2 linked regions of the Lytechinus pictus genome follow. The protein of the gene in region 1 interacts with the protein of each later gene in a pairwise test. Links are inferred from orthologs where the notes say so. Each region holds a gene or a part of one and is shown on either strand. Other genes may lie near its edges.

Region 1 (10,815 bases):
CCAAAGTTGGACATTCTAAGCACTTTTCTAACCATGAACAGGATCGTCACCTATCAATTGATGCGAGCACAAAGGGCGAGATGATTTTTTTGTATATTCTGACCTAAAATTGTTTGCTTTCTAAGCACTATTGGTAATCATGAACAGGATGGTTATCTAACAAATTATATGCGAGCGCGAAGCGCGGGCTAAAAATTGTTGATATTCTGACCATAAATATGGAAAGTCTATAATCACTATTGGTAATCAAGAACAGGATGGGCATCTAACTATGCATTTGAGTGCAAGCGCGGGCGCCAAAGTCATGTAAAACATGAATTTGGCGCCCCCCGGTCGAACATCGAATTGGCGCCCCAAAGGTCGAATATAAATTTGGCGCCCCATCCCTAGGTTGAAAATGAATTTGGTGCCCCAGGAAAAATATCGAATTGGCGCCCCAAAGGTCATATATGAATTTGGGGCCCCCTCCCTATAGGTTGAAAAAACTTGGGCACCTAAGGCAGAACATCAATTCGGCGCCCCCCCCCCTTCCTAGGTTGAAGAGTAATTCGGCGCCCCAATGTCGAACTTCAATTGGGCGCCCCCTATTTCAAACATCAATTCGGCGCTCCCTATAATATGTCGAACACCAATTCGGCGCTCCTAGGTAGAACATAAATTTGGCGCCCCCTATATCAAACTCTAATTCAACCTATGTCGAACATGAATTCGGTGCCCCTAGGTAGAACATAAATTCAGCGCCCCTAGGTCGAACATCAATAATTTGATGCCCCTAGTTTGAACATAAATTCGGCGCCCCTTGGTAGAACATCAATTTGGTGCCCCCTATATCAAACTCTAATTCGGCGCCCCCTATATCAAACTGTAATTCGGCGCCCCTATATGTCGTACTTCATTTCGCTCCCCCTCCCTATGTCGATCCTCACTTTGGCGCCATCCTAGACCGAACATAAATTCGCCGACCCCTATATCAAACTCTAATTCGGCGCCCCTATGTGGCTATGTCGAACTTCTATTCGGCACCCCCCCCCCCTTCTTTTTCTTCTTCTCTCTTTCTTTCCCCTTTTTTTTCTCTTTCTCTTCTCCTTTTCCTCCCCTTTTCTTTCCCCTCTTTTCTTCTTCTTTTTGGCGCCCCCCTTTTCTCCTACACAGGGGGGCGGGGGCGGGCCCCGAAAGGCCCCCCACAATACACGCATGCCCAAGGAAATTCCTGGGTTTGCCGCTTCCCAGGGCCGTGGCCTCCACTGGCATTTATAGAAGCAAGTTTCATAAAGTTCATATCGAAATTAGCTATTTATGAAAGTATGAAAAGTCTCAACTTATGGCGATTAAAAATGGCGGGTTTACTTAGTAATACAACTCTTAACATAAAATTCATATGTCCTCCTTAATCGCTGAATATGCTGCTCATCTGTATAATGTCTCAATTCAACATGATGTTACGTTTTAAACGTTTTGATACTTTTACTGTACCCATTCATCGATTTTTTTTCCCCACACATTGAAAGTGTCCCGCTTTATATAAAGAAGTTATAAGACCGCTATTATATACAAAAGAATTATTCATCCTCACCTCGATTTTTGTGCCACCGATTGAATGAAACACAATTGCACAAAATTAATAACACATTATTATGGTATATACATCCTCGATATCTAAAGCTTCAAATACCTCAAATAAATAACCTGTTTATTAAGATCCAAAATGTTCAGTCTGTTAAAATGTAATTGGAATTAACACCCTCTCCTTTTGCAGGGACAGTAGAACCAGGGGGCAGGGGACACTTCCCTCCACAATGTCTCCAATAGGAAAATATTCTCTTTTTTTTTTTCAAAATGAACTTTGCACTTTGTGATGTAACACGTTCTTTAATCTGCGCATTTTCGCCCTAAAGTCGATTTTCTTTATTTGTTATTTATTTCAGATGGCGAAATATTTCTTTCTTTTTTCATTCACTTTTCTTTTTTCGCCTCTGAAGGGCCACGTATAGGCTTACAGTCACTAGCGTACCTAAGGAAGGCAGGGGGCAGACTGCCCCCCCCCCCCCCTGACGAGTCACAAGCAAAAAAAAAAGGAAGCGAAAAAAGGGGAAAAAAGAAAGAGAAAAAGGGGGAAGGGTAAAAAGAAAAAAAAAGTTTAAGAGAAAGGGGAAAACAAAAACTGGACTGCAGACTGTCGGAAAAAATTATGAACTGTCGGGAACACGGGGCTGTTCCAACTGAATCGGTTTTTTAGTTCCACCATCTTTGTCGCTAAATATAAATTAAACTGTACACTTTTATCGGTAAATTGTGATTTTTTACGAAATGCGACTTTTAGAGCGCTCTGTACCGATAGTGAGGACGGATTGGGCTGACCAGGGACAGGAAAAGGTAGAGAACAACTTTTAGGTAATATAATTATAACAATACACGCTCGCATCAATTTTTAGGTTAGATACATAAGATAAATGTCTAGTTTTCAGGTTGAAATATCAAAAATTTTCAGCTCGCACTTCGCGCTCGCGTCAATTGATTAGTTAGAAACCATTTTGTTCACGGTTACAAAAAGTGCTTATAATATCCAGTTCTTAAACCGGAATATCAAAAAATTTTGCTCGTGCTTCGCGCTCACATATATAACTGTTTAGGTATATCCATCCTGTTCATAATTAAATGAAGTGCTTAGAATGTCCGGTTTTCAGGTCGGAATATAAAAAATGAAAATATCAAAAATATATCATTAGAAACCAATTTGTTCACGGTTACAAAAATTGCTTAGAATATCAAGTTCTTAGGTCGGAATATCAAAATTTTCAGCTCGAGCTTCGCACTCGCATAATATTCCATCCTGTTCATAATGAAATGAAGTGCTAAGAATGTAAAGTTTCAGGTCGAAATATCAAAAAATTTCAGTTCGCGCTTCGCGCTCACACCAATTAATTGTTTTTAACTATCATCTCGTTCATAGTTTAAAAAAAAAAGGTGCTTAGAATAATCCAGTTTTCAGGAGGGAATATCTCAGATTTTCAGCTCGCTCTTCGCGCTCGCATAAATTAATTATTCAGTTAGAAACCAATTTGTTCATGGTTACTAAAAGTGCTTAGAATATCCAGTTCTTAAGTCGGAATAACAAGTTTTAGCTCGCGCTTCGCGCCCGCACAACTGTTTAGATACCCATCCTGTAAAACTGCTTAGAATGTCTAGTGTCCAGTTAGGAATATCAAAATTTTTAGCTCGCACAATTTATAAAGGAATATACCCTTCATATTCATAATTAAGTGCACAAAATGTATCGTTTTAGGTCTAAATTTTTAGAAAAATTCAGCTCGCGCTTCGCGCTCGCAATTATTATTTTTATAAGGCTAAATAATAAATGAAATTTGTTTCGCTCGCTCGAAAATCAAAAACTGTGAAGTTCATATTTGGGCAATGATTATAAGCCCCCCTTGAAAAAAATTGTGCCTATACGTCCATGTCTACTACCCCCCCCCCCCCCCCCACCTTGCTCATCCTTGTCGCTTGCCCCCCCTGACGAAATATGCCAGGTAAGCCACTGCTTACAGTATTTCCCCAAATTCAGACGAGCCAAAAGACAGGGGAAAAAATGAAGGAAACCGTTCGGGAGGGGGGGGTTACGGGGTGTATCCGCACCCTTGGATACGCGCCTGCAAGTGTTGCTTTTTTTACCGTCGACTGAAATCCGATCTCCCAGCTTTCATAAAATGCATCCAACATCTTCCTAAGTTCGTTTTTTCCTAAAATTAGGGGCGCCATATTGATCTTAAACTTGAGGGACGCCAAATCGCCCGGAAAGCAAGGGGGCTTCAAAAATAGTTTTAAAGTTATATAGGGACGCAAAAATAAGAGGTTGTGGAGCGTGTTTGATCATAACCTTATCCCGGAACCTTATAGTGGCGCCAAATCGATAAGTAATTAAGGTTGGGGCGCTATATTCATGATATAGATTTAAGTATTGGGGTGTCCCATTTACTCATAAGGGTTGGGCGTTGATTTCTTGTTTTCATAATATTGTCTCCGAGTGAGATCATGACTTGATCAGATTAGTGCTTAAAATGTCATCTCCAATCATTTTAGCACGAGCTTCACTTGAAAGAATATGTTTAAAAGGTCCCATTCAGGACTGCATACATGTAATGTAAAATAAGCTCGCGCTTTGCGCTCGTGTTATTTAATTAGTGAGGTCACCTATCCTCCTCGAATTTCTGCACACGATCCTTTTGCATAATCATTTTCGGGTCAGTGTGTGAAAACAATTGAATTCAGCTCGTGCTTCGCGCTTGCATTAATTGCATATTGAGACCTGCTCATGGTCCCATTTGGATGTAGGTGGAGCAATATTGTCAGCGGAGCAAATATCGGCGAAACAAATTTTACAAAAAGTGCTTAGAATATCTGATCGCCGAGATGAAAATATTTTTCCGCCCCGGGCCCCTATAGCTATTATAGCGAAAGCTGGACCCTTCCCTGATGGTAAAGAAATGTCAGCTCATCGCGCTCACATAATTTTACTACAGAGCCTACTCTGATGAGAAGTTAAAGTAAAGTAAATCCCCACAGTGCTTTAATTACGGTTTTCTGTAGTTCGCCTCTATTCTTTTCAAAAAGTGGTATATTTATATTACAACATATTCATGGATATTTTTTCATGAACAAAAGTGATCTTCGCGATTGCCCTTTTTTCACGTGGCTATGCAATGAGATAATTCAACATGCATTTAAGGCACCTATGTTTGCCTGGCGGGGCCCCCCCGCCCCCCCCCCCCCGGCATTTTCTGAAAAGTTCACAGGGGCGCAAACATTAGGTCGGGCCCCCGGGTGCAAAATCCTGGATATATATAAATGCGCCTGTTGTTATCACTGAATGAAGCCAATTAAATTGATACGTGAAACTATAAGAGATCGAGATAATTACATTTATTTATGTATTGATATGTGTATTGTGTGAGGGTGTGGATGTGTGATCACAAAAAGAAAATATGATATTAGGGGCGGATCCAGGATATTTCGAAAGGGGGGCACATTTTTCCAAGGGAAATTTAATTGACAAGAAAAATTAAAAGGTCCTCATTTTCAATGGGGGGGGGGGGCAGTGTTAGAACGACATATTTACATTTTTTTTATTATGCCTCTCAAAGGGATGATCCGCCAGCTAGTGATGATAACGTAAGTGACAGATTCAGAATTTTTAGAGACATGCATGTTGGGGGCACAATTAATAGCAAATTTGAAAAGAGATGGGGTGCGCACTATTTTTGTAAGGATAAAAGATAAAGATAACAATTTTTTCAGATTTAGCTATATTAGCATTGGGCAATTTTCAAATCGTAGAAGGGCGCACTTCCCTCTCGCCCCCCCCCCCCCCCCCCCCTCCCCCATGCACCTGGATCCGCCATTGCCACTGACACTGTTTCATCGTGCTTGCGCCTCGAGTACTTTACCCATTCGTACTTTACCCATTCTCTACCCTCATGTACCACCGTTGAGGTGTGCTTTGCTCAATGGAGTAACGTCTCTTTACATTCAACGCCCATACTGATTTTCGCTGCTCCATCTGTGACTCGGTGGAGTATGGTCGCGTACACGAGCAAAGCACGTGTACTAGTTACCAGCCAAATCTGTCTCTTTCGTTATCTTCATCTGAAATTGTAAGAATGTGGAAATGATAACCCTCTAGAAATTGACTTAAATTACTATTTTCTGAATGCAAATTGTGTGAAATGAGCGATAATTGTGATGTATGAAGATTGAAATTTCCGATTTAAATATCTGAAGGGGGAGATGATGTGTAATAAAATGATAACGAGTCATTTTGAAAAAAGTCGAAAGAATTTGTGAAATGAACAATCGTGTAGGTAGCGTTCGCTGCGTGTGGACGTGTGTGCGTGTATCATGCTGATGAGAGCTGTCTGGCTGTGGACAGTGCAGTGTGGTTCACGAATAGTTGCTAAGTTATTGTGCAACTGCAAGTGCAACATGTGGGTTCTTTGGGAAATGGGAATAGACACAAATAATAGCATTGGCCCTTGCTGTTGAATGCAAAGTTAAATTGCAATTTATGTCTGAATGTGATGATGAATGATTGTTGGCATGATTACACTGTAATTTACAGATTAGGCTGACTGGGGCCTGGGCTGAGCCGAGTCTGAGAGTGAGAATAGTGAGTGATTGAGAAATTTGTGAATTTGACAGTCGATGCAATGCATGCCGTGTTTTAAGGTTTATCGCTTATCAGAACCGCAATGCGTTATGGGATCGAAAAGGGGGCCGTTAGCGCACTGCGGACAGTCAGTGCACAGATATAGCTAGCTAGCTAACGGCCCCTTTTCGATCCAGGCTATGATGCATTGCGGTTCTGATGAGCGATGAACCTTATTGCCTTGGCCATGCCCATGCCTTGGGAGATTCATGAATGACATTTATTTAGATCTAGACCTATTTGTAATTGCAATTTTTTTTTGTATGTGCATCAGAGAGAAGGGGAATTTAGATTCAAAAGTTAAAATATTAACGTTAATTAAAGAAGATCAGCTGCAGTACGTAGTCTAGTCTGAAATCCTTTCATGTGAATAACTGTCTTCAGTAGTTTCTAATTTGTTTAATTTTTTTTTAAATGGCCAACATTTTTAGGTTCTTTTATTGTGATTTTATTTGTAAAAAAAAATTAAAAAGTTACTAATTTATCTATATCTCATTTTTATTTTTCTCCCCTATTTTCCACTGGTTGGTTCCAGTTTGTCTTGTCTTTAAATCAGCTTCGGCGATCCTTGAGTCACACAAGATGGTCAGGGAAGACAAGACCACATGGAAGTCCAACTACTTCGTCAAACTCATTGTAAGCGTGAGCCTAGTGCTATCCCAATATTACAGCACTTGAAAATACTATCCACATTTGATAATTCAAGCATTTCACAATACATGGCCACCAATGTTCGACATTAGCATTGGAGGCCTACTTTTCTTTCCACTTTGGGCCAGTGTTTTCCTAGAAAGCACATGCTGTGAATGACAATGGAAAATGAAAGAAATCCCAGGTTCAGAAAAGAATAGGGATTGATCAGGCGAACTGGCCCAGTGAGATCCCTGAAAATTGTACTTAATTGAATTTTGTTGTAATCATTCAGAATAGAAGAGAGATTTGCAATGGCATGAAGTAAGTGTATTGTGCCAACCAATCTCTTGGAAATATGTGTAACTTAACAGCATAAAAGGCAAAGTGGATGAAATGCTTGAATTGTCATTTGATTAGCTGTTCGAAATATAAAATGAGAAATTTAGAGAAATGTTTATATGATCTGTTGGGAATAAAGTTCAATTTATAAGTTTGAATTTCTATGGACCAATTTGAATTTGATATTTGTGGTTTACATATTGTATTTATTTGTGGGGGAGGTCATTGTAGGGTAAAATTGATTTTGAACCCTCCATTAATTGCTTGGATCTACCCTTTTGTACATGTATTTGAGAAGATTCTAACAAATTATTATTTTGAAATGAGCCCTTCATTTTTTTGAAGTTGCAAAATGTCAGACACAATAAAAATTCTGGTGAAAAATACATTTCATGCTCTTTCTCCTTTTCAGGAAAACTTAAATGAGTTTCCCAAGTGCTTCATCGTCGGTGTTGACAATGTCGGCTCCAAGCAGATGCAGGCTATCCGTTCCTCTCTACGAGGACATGGTGTTGTCCTCATGGGCAAGAACACCATGATCCGCAAGGCCATCAGAGGACACTTGGAGAAAGATCCTGGCCTAGAGAAGTAGGTTCATACAGGTTTAGTTCCTTAAAAAAAACAGCAAAAGAAAAACAAGCAACTTAAAAGAAAAAAATGCAGGAAAACTTGATAATTTTTTACTATTGTAAAAACCTTTTTTAAGATTAGTTTTACAGTGACTGATTAGAAAACCTGAAAAAAAGTTAATATTCATTAGACATTTTCTTACTGGGTTTGCTGAGATTACAATTGAAATCATGTTATAATGAGGGATGAAAATGAAAAAGTTAATGAAGAAGATTGACCAGGAAATCCCATGTTCTATAGGGTTTACTAGGCCAGTTAATGAGGTTACATCAATGCTTTTTAACAGGTTTTAAGTTGTGGTGGTTTTTGGCAAGTGGGAGGAAAGATACTGTCTTTGTAGTAGACACTTCAAACAAATGCTTACCAGAAAGGGGATTAACACAATGTGTTGTGCAGGGAGTGTTGGAAGAGCTGGTTATATAAAATGAAGTGGCTACCAAGCTTTCCTTCCCTTGGTACAGTTAATGGTTATCCATATATGTCTTTTGTTAGTCAATATGTTTTAAGCATCTTTCTCCCCGTGCTTCTTTTTTTTTTCTGCAGACTCCTTCCTCACATGAAGGGCAATGTTGGTTTTGTGTTCACCAAGGGAGATTTGTTGGAAGTTCGAGAGTTGATCCTTGCCAACAAGGTAAACACACCCTACAAAAATATGTTCAGGGAGGGGATGGGGGATGTGCTTGAGTAATTATTTTAGGGTCAACTTGATGAATTGGTAATATTTGGCTTTTGGGGAGTGTGTTTTGGTTATTATTGGGGTTGGTGCCATGTTTTATGATCATGATGACATAAGGGCACGTTGCCAGTGCGATGCATAAAGTGCCATCAGAGCCAGAAATGGCTGAACCCACTGAAGGCCCGCATCCCACGTTGACCAAAAAAACAAGCCCTTATTAACACGTCTGAATCATAAAAGAATGATGCCACTTACCTCTATAGTAGACCTTCCTAGGCCAAGGCCTATATTTCAAATTTGTTGACATTTGGGATAATTTTATGAAAATTTGCTTTTCATTGATGCCAATCAGTTGGTATATTGCTACGTGTGATTATTAAATAATGTTATAACACCTTTAATAAGCACAAAGTTTCAAAGCACAGCCCATCTTTAAAATGCTCCATGGTTGTTGCTAGAAAAGATGTTGTTTGAGCTATATATATATGAATAGTATACTTTGATCTATCAGATTTGATTTAACTTAGATGAGCTGCAAATATGATATTGAGTATGGATTGAATTCAAAGTGAATCCAAAATGTAAAAACCTGCCAAATGGGAAGTATGGCCATGAATTTTGAGCTTGCCTATTTTGTGTTACATCACCCAAATCTAATGAAAGCACATTGTTATCAAGCAAGATTTTTTTCTCTCCTGTCACTATATAAAAACAAATCGCCTCCTGCCCCCTTTGCATTAATCTTATAAGAACAGTTGCAGCTGCATTGTCAGGAGGAACATTGTACTGGTAAGCTAAACATTTAAATGGCTATTGTGATTTTTCTTTTTTTTACAAATAGCTTCCTATAAATGTATGTTTACACTTGTCCACAATGTTGTCTTGAACAGGTTGCTGCCCCAGCCAAGGCCGGTGCTCTTGCACCCATCGATGTGTTCATTGATGGCCACAACACTGGTTTGGGACCCGAGAAGACCTCCTTCTTCCAGGCTCTCTCCATCGCCACCAAGATCGCCAGGGGAACCATTGAAATCTTGGTAAGAATCTGGTCTCTTCATGTTGATTATCGAGAAGGAGAAAAGGATATTAATAGGATCAAGGCATAAATTTGAAGAGATGGGGGGGGGGTCCAAAGTAGGCAATCTCCATCAAAGAGTCGAGTATTTACTTGAGGTAACTGGTAATGATGATCTGAGGGCATGTTGCCAGTGCGATGCATAAAGTGCCATCAGAGCCAGAAATGGCTGAACCCACTGAAGGCCAGCATCCCACGTTGACCAAAAACCAGCCCCTGATAATGTGTCTGAGCCAGTTTCCTTTGTTGACAAGAGCCTTTCTGAAATGGAGCAGCCAAGTTCATTGTAGAATTTCTTTGTCATTGTAGTACATAGTTTGCTATTTCAGAGGAATGTTAGTGTGGTCTTTATACACGATTACCAACAGATTTTAAACAAGTTCTCTTTTTCCCTTCCAATGGAATGGACTCGGATGCCCTTGTCTGTGCTCCTGCGACATTTGCTCCAATCGTAATTTATCAGAGGGCACAGGGTTCGAGTTCGGATTGTAATAGTTTTTGGTTTAGAATAATGTACAGATAAATAATAGGTTTATGTAGTCATGGAGGTTCGGTTTTATGTTTGGCATATCATGCAAACTTCCCAGCAATTGTTGCTGAAACAATGACATGGAACCGTGTTACTTGATGAGTGTAATCAATTGTTCAGTTCTTTAGTTCTGGGCCCGTCAAAGAGTTACTATCGATCCAATCAATCGTAACTCTATGGAAATCCATCAGTGTCATAATTTCTTCTACAGGAAATTTGTAAAGAAATGTCCTTTGTAAACAAAGGAGAACACACCAAATTGTCAAGAAATAAATGAATTTATAGATATACATTCATATCTAGAAAAAATTTTGAACAAACATGGCATTTTATATGTTGACGTTGCTGGCCGTCCATAGTTGCAATTGATCGGATCAATCTCAACTCTTTGTAAGATGGGGCCCAGAAATATAGTGTTATTCACTTTGTTATTGAATATGTATTTTGTCCTACAGAACAAGGTACATCTGATCAAGAAGGATGAGAAGGTAGGAGCTTCTGAGGCTACCCTGCTTCAGATGTTGAAGATCTTCCCATTTTCATATGGTCTCCAGATTCGCCAAGGTGAGTCTTCAGGGATTCCCTACTACTACTCAAATAACATGCTTGTTATTCAATGCCTGAAACAAGTTGAAGTTCTTCTGAATTCATTTAGTGCTTTATTCGCATCTAATAGAATGAAATCAATATTCTATGGATTTCTATTCAGATCGTTATTTGTTTTTTGTTATAAA
Region 2 (11,398 bases), on another chromosome or scaffold:
TTAAAGTGTACATAAAAAAGTAATGCCTCATGGATATGGGTAAAAGGCTACTGGCTATTCAGGGGAGTAGCCAAAAATCACAGGAAAATAGAACATTAAGTGTAAAATTATTGTGGTAGTTGACAAGTGTTTGAATCCATTTCCAATCCCGGAGAAGATACCCAAATAGCAGAGCTGCCAACCTTAATTTGTGAAAAAAATCTTTATATCCTAATTTCAAGCCTAAATCCTATTTTCCATTACAATTTTTAAAATTCAAATTTTTAGGGGGGGGGATCTATCAGTGTCAATTTCCTATTAAACATCCTTCTAAATGGGGAAAAAATATATCAATTATCAGCTGTGAGATAGGCAGATTAAAGATGAATATGAACTCACCGAAACCCATGTCGTCATCAGACTCCTCGGACTCTTCCTTCACTTCCTCCTTCTTTTCTGTAATGGGGAAAGAACAAAGCAGATAGAACAATGTTACCAAGAATGGATACAGAGAATTTTATGATAACCTATGGGCAATTCCATAAAATATGTCCGACCCCCTATATGTGGGACCTTCATAAAATTTTCTGTCCCTGATTTCTGGTTCTTTTGATAGTCTGTAATGCTCTCAAATGACCATGGCTTGGTCAGTTAACGAAGTGAAGACTTGAGAAAATGGGGGTTGGATGTACAAAAAGGTTGATCATTTTATGGAATTGCCCCTATGTAAATATAAACACTGCTCATTCAACATGAATAAAGATTATCCATACTTGGATCGTTTGACACTTGAGCTTCTTTGCCAATTAAAACCACAGACTTTGGAAGCCGTCTTTTGTCAGATGAAACACTATGAAACACTCCTAATCTTATAAAAGTGAGTTACAGCGCTGAGACTTGCAAGGGTCATTTGAAACTTCGTGTTATGAAAGACGACCCTATTTCACATTCAGAAGTGGCTTTAGCAGCTCCACGTTCAACCAAAATTTCTTGAAGAAATTTACCATCAGTATCAACCGATGACATGGCATGCACGAGTATTGTGATTATTGCAATCAAGTTTACGACAGAGATACCTAGTTCACCTTCAGCAATTGCATCGCAAACATCTGAAGAGAGGGCATCAGTTTCCTCTTCACCAACAATTTCCATACGACCATCCCGGCCATCAACCAATCCTATGGGACAATTTTGAGTAGCTTTCCACAATCTGTTTACAAATTTGAGAAAGAGTACCCGGACTTACCTTCGGCGGGAGCCTCGCCACCAGCATCTCCAGCTGGGGCAGCAGCAGCTCCACCACCGCCACCACCGGCTCCTACGTTGGCGATGAGGGTAGACAAGTCAACGCTTGACAGAGCCTTGGCAAAGAGGCTGCACCAGTACGGTTCCACATTAACTCCAGCAGCCTTGATCAAGGTTTGAAGTTTGTCGGCCTATGGACAGAGAATTCAATAACAATACAAACAAATGAAGATCAACATTTAAAAATGGATCAGAGTCGGTCAATCCAAGGATGCCAGTTAATGTATCTGACTTTAGGACAGCTTGAAGTTGAAAGAAAAGGCTTTGGGGCGGGGGGGGGGGGGGGGGGAGGGAGTGAGAAAGAGGAAGATAGAGACAAGAGAGGGAAGGCACAAGATGGGGGGGGGGGGGTCTGTGCATTGGTCGAAAATCATTTGCAAATTTTTCAAACATACATGTAGCGAGCAACATTTCAGTTGATATACAGTTCCTAATATTTCAATCATCACGCATTTCGCAAACGATTTAAAAACGAATGAATATCTGACTGGTGTCACCTCATTGACTTTTGTACCAAGATGTTATTAGATTCATTTTCATATTTCATTTCCTGTAAAAATAGCAAAGGATCCAAACTTTATATGAAATTAAAGCATATCCTCTCGACTCTCAGAAAAAATAAATAATAAGTTGTGATTATTGAAGCATTGTTAGTTACGCTTCAATGATCACAGAAAGGTATGAAAATATGCACTATCTCACTAAATGTCAATGACTATCACTATCATTCATGTATAACTGTTACTGAGGTGGAAAACGAAGGCTACACTATTCTCTTTCATATGATATGCATGTATAATTCATTAGATTTTATGAAAGCAAAGTTAGGACATTTTGACTTTCAGCATAGTTCATCCACTCACTTTACAGTGTTTTATTGTAGTGTACAAATGATTCGTGTATAATTTGTAGATCTATCCAAGGTAAACAATTATCACTCTGAAACCATTTGGAACCATCTTTGGCCAAAAACCACCAAGATTTCACCTTGGATCGATTAACACTATAAATTCTACTTTCTCTCATAGCATCTTGTTTTTATCCCCCTAAAAGTTCTTTCTTATCCTTTCTGCCTTGGAAATTAGCTCACACTGCAGATTCTCCACTTTCCTCCCTCTTTTAATTTTATACTCAACTCTCCTTTGATCTACAACTGTTATCATGCCATATGATGCCCCCCCCCCCCCCCCCATGAGCCGGTTTCTTAGACTCATTTGTTGCCCAAATTTCGACTGGCATGTTTAGATTTTCTGCAACATTTTTTTTTTATCTTACATGTCTTTTCACAAAATGAAATTTTGTATCAATGTTTGTTGAATATATTTGTCTACTTTCAAAGCAATTTTATTTTCAACTTCCACCTCAATATTTCATACAAATCTAACAATGGAAACAGAGAATTCCCTGATACAATCAGTAGAGGCACAAGGCCAATATGGGAGACTCTCTCCAATAGGGGAGACAATCTCCCACATTGGAGACTTGCTTTGCAAAAGGACAAAAGAAACACCAACAAAAACATGATTTTTTCCACCCAAAATTTTGTCTCACTGAGGTCAGAAGCCCATTTGTTCTGTGTGTGATTGACAACAAAAATCCTTATCAAAACAAAAGTAGACTGTGAATTTTTAAAGTAGACAGTGAAAAGGGGTAATTTTTAATGAGAAATCTGCTTATCACATTTTTATTTGCCGCCAAGGTAATTGTTTTGCAGCAAATGTAAACAAAGGAAATTGGACTCCAAAACTGGAGACTGTCTCTAAAATTGGATACCAAAATTCTTTACAAAAGTCTCTGATATTGGAGATAATCTCCCACATTGGAGATAGTATAGTCTCCAATATTGGCCGTGCGCCTCTACTGACAATGTATCTCCATGTTTTGCGGCTGTGATTCGCCAGTACCCCACTTTGACAGTGTGTGCAAGAGCCGCACGCGATACGGTATGCAACCCCCAGAAGTTGCAGTGGCCATTCAGCCCACATTACATGCAGAACCCCTGTGGAACTATGAAGGCAACCCACTAGCATGCCGTAGATTTGATTTCGGTGCAGATTCAATGCGGTTGAGCTTTTCTGGGGTTCATATTTTTTTCTTATATCATTTAGAAGATACAAGATATTCTAAATTTGTGGGAACATTAAAAATTTGGAACCACAGATTTCATCATTTTCAGTGCATTTCTTGGCGACCCCGCTTCTTATATCTGACTGAGCTAAGCTGCTGCTTGCCCTGGAAATGCGGCACAGATTCTGTATTTGTAGGGCAACATTTGCCAACTTTTCAAAGGGGATTTTGGTTTTGGAGTTGAAATCTGGACTTTCCTCCTGAGGCTCCTGTGGTGATTCTCCTTCTGTCTTGTGGTGTTGGACACCAGTAAAAAAATTGACTCTTTTTGCCACTGCTTTAATTTGGAGCCTTCTTTGAATTGAGAGGATGAAATGAAAAAGCTTCTTTCCCTTCATCCTTTTTTTTCCTTCTCATTATTTCTTTTCTGTTAATCTTTCTTTTTTTCTTCTTTTTTTTTGGACTGGGTCTGTGCTGCATGGCCTGTGAAATAAGTTAGACAAATTGACATTTAAAATTCGGGCTAGTTTCTCTACCCCAACTGTTGAATTATTGTACATCATCACACAAACTTTCAGGCATTCCATATTCACACCTGCACACCACAGAAAACAGACTCATTCAACAAAGTTCAAACATATCAAAATTGGATTGAGACATTGAGTCCAACTTTTACTTTTTTAGTAGGCCTACAGTTTTTACTGCCATACTGGACCATCTGAGACTAAGATTAAGAATAATCTTTTATGCGTTCTTCATCAGCAACATTAACGAATAACGTTTAACAGCCAACGATGTAAATAGTATACAAATAATGCATGCAGCCGAGTGCGTTAGTGGAAATGCAGAGCACGCGAGGTTTCTTTAGATAGGAGTCGCACTGTGCACGAGCCGCTTGCGGCGAGTGCCCAGTGTGCTCCATCTGAAGAAACCGAGCTTTCTCTGCATTTACTTTTAAGTTTTATGCAAGACAGAGCAAGTGCATTATTTGTTTTATGAAATAGCAACACAGAAACAATTTTTAAAAAACTTACAGTACAGTTTTGTTGGACTTTACCGCACTGGTTTGCTCGAGCGTGCAATGTCAATTTTCGTTGCACACCTTTTGCACTACCGTGCAGTGCACAAAAAAAGTTGGATGTCATGTGACGCGTATTGACCAATCGCGATGCTTGAAATAATACAGCTATTTTATAATAAGTTGTAGTAACATGGGCATGGCCATGGCATTGCCATTGATTGGCAACACGCATGGAGCCTAGCCATGTCCATGACAAGTGCAGAATACGTATATTAAGGATACACCCCACCCACCACTTTTCGAACAAGGCATACTTGCCAAATAGAAAGTGTCTACCCATTCAACTTTATGGGGTGTAATCTGCAATTAACTTATATAAGCCATGCTGAAGGTTTTAAACTTTTAGCTTCGCGGACATTACACAAAACTTTATACATGGGCACACACTATGGGGGAAGTATTACCGTGATTGGGACCTCATCATCTTGGAGGATAAGAGCGCTGTAAACGCAGGCAAGCTCAGAAGTATTGTCCTCAGAAGACATCTTTGATATTTAGTGGCTTGATTTCTTGGGAAATCAGTACTTGATGGCAAAGAAAAATGGTACACGTCGCCGATTTTGGCCTTAGCTCGATAGAGAACTGTGCACCTTGTTTCTATCCGTGTTGCAAGAGGTCTGTGGAAAGGACAAGTTCATTAATTTTGGGTGGGATCTTTTTATTTTTTATTTAAAAAAACATTTAAAAGTCGATTGTAATTGTTTTTTTAAACAGTATCTTCAGATCAAATATATTATAAAAATCCTTTATTTTACTAATCGAATCTGATATCGAGAGATGTTATTTTGATATATGTATAAGAATTATTTCAGCACATTTAACTTTTACAAAAGTGGATTATTCCTGTCATCCGTGCGTAATGTTAATGGCCCCAAGTTTCGTGGCTAACGGAACTACAATCGTCTGATCCCCTAGAAGTCCGGCGCGATAAAGGTAGGCTGATACCAGGATACGGCTTTACACTGTTTTCCCATAGCGCGCGCGCGCGCTCTGCTAATGTGAATTATGGCTGTATTTGGGCTGTGGAAGGAGAAACGAACACTCTAAAATGTTGCGATATTATTTCAATTTAATGGGGTTCCTTTGGGGACTAATTGCTTTATTTTGTATGTTGAATCACAGAGTTATGTGTCAACTGGTAATCAACGTGAAAAACGACGGTGGTGACCTTGTTCAAGAGAGTATAAACGCTGATGTCAAACGCGATGTGATTTATTTGCAGTTTCAAAAGCTTGATGGCACACTTGTGAAAATGGTCATTGATTTCAAATCGGTAAGTGAAGCAAAAAAAAATGCTTGCTGGATGGATTGGGTAGATTTTAAGTTTAGAGTCATCATAGGCATTAAACCGTTGTATATACACTGTAACACAGTTGATCCAGTCTCACAAACCACGTATTAAAGAGTAGAACTTAGAGTAAGTAGAGGCGCACGGCCAATATTTTAATTGGACTTGGACTGGAGACTGTCTCCAATATCAGAGACTTTTGTAAAGAATTTGGGTATCCAATTTCAGAGACAGTCTCCAGTTTTGGAGACCAATTTTCTTTGTTTACATTTGCTGCAAAAGGATTACCTTGGCGGAAAATAAAAATGTGATAAGCAGATATTCCTCATGAAAAATTACCCCTTTTCACCGTCTACTTTAATTAAAAATTCACCGTCTACTTTTGTTTTGTCAAGGATTTAAGTTGTCAATCACACACAAAACAAGTCAAATGGGCTTCTGACCTCAGTCCAGTGAGACAAAATTTTGGGTGGAAAAAAAATCATGCTTTTGTTGGTGTTGTTTCTTTTGTCCTTTTGCAAGACAAGTCTCCAAAGAGTCCAATGTGGGAGATTGTCTCCAATGTGGGAGATTGTCTCCCCTATTGGAGAGAGTCTCCCATATTGGCCGTGCGCCTCTACTGTTAGAAGTCGTGATCGTTGACGACCGGGAGATTTACAGGAAGGCATTATCTCACTCCCGTATCAGATGATGATGATGATGAATAAATAAAAATGATTTAAAGGAGAATGAAACCCTTGAAACTAGCTGAATCCATATCAAAGAGAAAAATCAAAGAAACATATTGTTGAAAGTTTGAGGAAGATTGAATGAATAATAAGAAAGTTATGAGCATTTGAATATTGAGATCACTAGTGCCATGTAGATCCTCCCATCGGCAATGCGACCAAGATCTGTGATATCACACACGTACAACTCCGTCATTACTTTAGTACTTATTTCACTTATATTCTCACTTTTATAGAGTCTATCACAAGGTTAGGTGTTTTCTTTATGAGATGACAAGTACAGAGGTTTCACAACATTATATCATTAATTGATGAATCGTTTGTCATATGATAAGAATGAGCAAAAAGAGATGTTTTGGGGTATATTTTCAGTGTCCGAATGGGAGAGTTGTACGTGTGTGACATCACAGATCTTGGTCGCATTGCCAATGGGAGGATCTCCATAGCATTAGTGATCTCGACATTCAAATGCTCATAACTCTTTTATTGCTAGTCCTATTTTACTCAAAGTTTTGTTGATCTTATTCTTTGATTTTTCTGCTTTCACAAAAGCTAACTTGCTCCAAGAGTTTCATTCTCCTTTAAATTAAATGGTGGATCAATATCAACCTCCCTTGAGCTCAATAAAATGATCTCGCTCAGTCACTGATCACTGACACTCCAGTGAGTGGGTGATTTCAATTACGGTGTTGAAATTGTGTTGGTTAAGTCACAAATTGTGACAACACAACAACACCGTACTTGAAATCACGCTGGTGTTGGGATTGACCTCGGAAAATATGACGCATTTCCGGCAGTTCTTGTTGAGCGCTGGTGTTGAATGTCGTCTGCTGAACCGAGCGTTACAGTGTAATTTTACAGCTGGTGTTAAATTAGGAAAATCATGATTTCAAGTTGGTGTTGATGTTGATGTGATGAACTGTATACTGTACATGTATGATGTAGCTCACGAACAGGCGGCGAACACGACGAAACATCCTTGTAAAATTATCTTTTACTTTAGTTTTAGTTAAGATGAGCGCAAATCATTAAGAGTTTTATACATTTTAATGAAAAGTAATATTTATGCTTTCTGATTCCTTGCAGTGATTTTAACCTTTGCATTCTGTACGATAAGATTTTCTTGCAATTTCTTCCCGATTTCACTTTCGTCGTGGAGAATTTCTCACATAAAGTTGAGATGATCAGCAGTGCAGTGCAGAGGCGTGATGTCATAGGCTATCGCTACACGATCGGTATCGCTCCTCTGAACTCAGCTCGGTGTTCGAGCTCGGTTCAGCAGTCTTTTCAGTTTTCATGCTCTCAACACCAACACCGAACACCGTACTTGAAATCACCCAGAGTACTCAGTGTTGCTTAGCCAGGAGGCTTCTAGAGAGTAAAAAATCATTAACTAACGTGTGCTTACTCTCCACTGAGCCAGGGATTGCGTCCCATTCATGTGCGTGTACGGTACTGTGAAAAAAACTGAAATTTTTCGTCCCCGAGATTTTTACTTTCCTTCTAACTTAAACGATCTACATGTAGGCCTAGGCTAGCCCTAAAATGTAAATGGGATATAATTTCATTTCCGACATTTATATGATGTTGATTTCATTTTTAAACAAGAATTCATAAAAAAACCGAGAAAAACATTTTGAGAAGACGGAAAAAAGCTTGCCGATGTTTACGTCGCCATCTTGTTCTCTTTGTTCTTTGCCAAGCTACAAGAGGCTTTTTAGAGGCATATCCTCTGATATATTTGCGTCTTGTGCTGTGGTATACCGGTAAGACAACAAAAAAATCAGAAAATTTTTATAAAACTCCTCCGAAATAGCTCGGATACATTAGTTTGATGATAATTCTGTAATACCAGTTTTTGTTCTATTTTTCATCTCTTACATGTATTCCTCTCTTAGGAAGTACGCATCTTTAAAACCATTGTCTTAGGAGAGGAGGAGAGGCTAGAGAGTCAGTATCACATCATGTGCTTTGTGACCAAATTCAGCAAGTCAGAATTCATCTCATCAGATGCCATGTCTAAACTGAGACAGGTAAAACACCAAAGTTAGACCTAAAATAAAACATCAAAATGATTCAAATCGTCAAATGTAAACTTTTACATACTGTATACATGTTTCTAAAATTCATTAAAATTGTTGTTATACTTTCATTATTTAAAAAAATGACCATTGTACACATGAAAATGTGTAGTTGTTATCTCCAAACATCTTTAATGACAAATGTGGCCGCCCCCTCATAAGTACGCCATTAATGAAGACCGCAGAATTTTAACTTTAGTTCAGTAATTTGAAACTTGTAATTGATGTAACACATTAGTAGCAAGGCAATAAAGATCCAGGATTTTCGAAAGGGGGGGGGGGGCATTTTTGTCCAGAAAAAAGGTCTTCGATTCCGAAGGATGGTCATTCTACATCATAATTCGACAAGCCCCACCTCCCAACAAACACTTTGCACTTACAAAAAATTTTATCAAAGGGGGGGGGGGGGGGGCATCGTACCCCACAAAAGGCACAAATCCCTGAAAATCTAAAATAAGAGCCCTGAAATTCTCACAGGGTCCAGTGTAAAATGTAAAAAAAAAAATAATAAAATGTAGCAAATTTTAGCTGTAAGATCTCATAAAGAAGCACAGAAAAAAAAAAAAGTATAATTTGACTCTCTCTCTCTCTCTACTGCTGCTACTTTTTTGTAGAAAAATCCCGGAACCATCCGCAACCCGGAAGAAGACAAAGGCAAGGAGTCTTTGACCTTTGACATGTCCGTCAGCCTCGAACGATCGGCCAGGATCAGCCCTCATATCTACAACACATGCATGGAAGCCAAGGAGAGGGTGTACACTCGTACAGCAGACATCAAGGGATGGTCGAAAGGTATGTATTCCATTGATTCTCATTCTGAATCTGCTTTTGTCCCCGATTCGTAGTTTAGTTTAAATTCATAATCGTTTAGTAGCTTTTTATCCATTATATGGGTGTCTCTTCATATTAGATAATCATCTCTTCTTAAAGGACAAGTCCAGCACCCCAACAAAAAATTGATTTTTATAAAAAGAGAAAAATCTAACAAACATAAGCACTGAAAATTTCATCAAAATCGGATGTAAAATATTAGAAAGTTATGACATTTTAAAGTTTCGCTTAATTTCACAAAACAGTTATGTGCACATCCTGGTAGGTATGCAAATGAGGGGACTGATGACATCACTCACTCACTATTTCTTTTGTATTTTATAATATGAAATCTGAAATATTCAAATTTTCTCCTCATTGTCCTGTGAAACTACGTTTTATTCCTCCCTGAAGATATGGCATTACCATTGTTATAACATTTTATGGTTCAGTTAAGTTGGTCCTTGATGTCAAATTGGTAAAAATTGAAATATTGTATGATTCAAACAATAAAAAACAAAAGAAATAGTGAGTGATGGACATCATCGACTTTTTCATTTGTTTGTCACTGAGTTCATATAACTGTCGTGTGAAAAGTAAGCGAAACTTTAAAATGTCATAACTTGCTTATTTTACATCCGATTTTGATCAAATTTTTAGCATTATGCTTGTTTGATTTATCTCTATTTATTCAAATTAACAATTTTCTGGGGTGGACTTGACCTTTAAGTAGCTTTTCTCCCCTTTCAGTTGATTCCTTTTCTGATTTATGACTTAATAATATATCTCTTATTATATTTTTTGTTCTCATACATCCATTGATTTCTATCCCCAAATGAAATTGAAAGTTCTGCATAATGTGAAATGAATGCACATGAATACACAGCAGTTGAATAAAAGTAGAAAATTATTTGTTTTAATTTCAATTTCTTAGTAATTGTTGCTTTTAGAAGCTTGTTTGTCAACTGCCGGGGTCTGGCTACGAAATGTTCTCAGTGAAAAAATGACCAATTGTTGAGGGGGGGGGGGGGATACTGAAAAAAACAACATCCATAATCATGTGTGTCCATAGTTGCTACCACATCAAAATATATATTTTTCATTAAAAAAACAAAGACGTGAAGTCACATTGCAGGATGAATGTTACTTTCTCAGCTTTCCGTCTGAAAACAAGCCCAAATGCCAAAATGTTTTATGCATCAAGATGCTCGAGGTCTACTTTGGAGAAATAACTCCTATTGTATTGGCCCTCCAGAATGAAATGATACTCACACAACAGCTTTTCCCTCAAATTTTCTATATTTTTCTCTATTAGCAATTAAAAATGGGAGTGTCATACTGATTTGGTCTGTGATGAATTCTAATTCACTGTAAATTTCAGATTATTTTATTATGTTTTATTTTCAGAATACATGTGTACAGTACGTTTCAAAGCCCCCCCCCCCATACATGCTTTTCATGTGATAAAAAATTCACACCGCTTTTGATCATTAGACTTGTGAAACTAGAATAGGGTCAGTGCACCATTTAACTGGAACCAGTGATTACGTTATGACTCAGGACATGAAATGTACATACATGTACGTACACAGAGGGAATAACAATCATTGCCGGCCACACAGAAACGTTGTTAGCCTATTACAGAGCGCTAACAGTAAGCCCAGTCACATCTTTGGATTTGTGAAGTCAAAACATTTATTTCAATGTGTATCAAAGTAATGCATTGTTGTAACGTTAAGCATCGCTGCCACATTACCGGTTGTAACAGGGCCTCTGTTAGTGAAATGTTAGCGCTAACAACGTTTTTGTGCGGTCAGTGAGTATAGGTTAATAGGAAAATGTATTTTGTACAATGTACATGTAATTTCAGCAGCTACATTGTACACTGTACTGCAAGGAATACCATTTGTCAAATTTATGGATGAATTTGTACAGTTTTAAATCAAATATGTATTTTCCTGTACTGACCGCACAGAAACATTGTTGGCTTTAACAGAGGCCCTGTTATAACCGGTAATGTGGCAGCGATGCCTAATTTTACAATGCATTACTTACACAT

Evidence for each region. The genes of interacting proteins can lie anywhere in the genome.
Region 2: the proteins of large ribosomal subunit protein uL10-like (region 1) and large ribosomal subunit protein P1-like interact in binary tests that used the Drosophila melanogaster proteins (3 or more experiments, as listed by UniProt). The link is inferred for Lytechinus pictus from reciprocal best matches to the Drosophila melanogaster genes RpLP0 and RpLP1.

The regions. Positions count from the first base shown.
Region 1 is NC_087245.1:24,993,087-25,003,901, forward strand, and holds the start of large ribosomal subunit protein uL10-like, read left to right. Parts: upstream 1-5,441; 5' UTR 5,442-5,648; intron 5,649-6,734; 5' UTR 6,735-6,781; coding exon 6,782-6,835; intron 6,836-7,583; coding exon 7,584-7,759; intron 7,760-8,344; coding exon 8,345-8,432; intron 8,433-9,367; coding exon 9,368-9,514; intron 9,515-10,536; coding exon 10,537-10,645; intron 10,646-10,815. UniProt on the Drosophila melanogaster protein: Ribosomal protein P0 is the functional equivalent of E.coli protein L10.
Region 2 is NC_087252.1:20,856,365-20,867,762, reverse strand, and holds the start of large ribosomal subunit protein P1-like, read right to left. Parts: upstream 5,060-11,398; 5' UTR 4,918-5,059; coding exon 4,837-4,917; intron 1,416-4,836; coding exon 1,226-1,415; intron 436-1,225; coding exon 379-435; intron 1-378. Other genes in the region: out at first protein-like, read left to right, coding at 5,481-5,705, 8,347-8,481, 9,144-9,321. UniProt on the Drosophila melanogaster protein: Plays an important role in the elongation step of protein synthesis.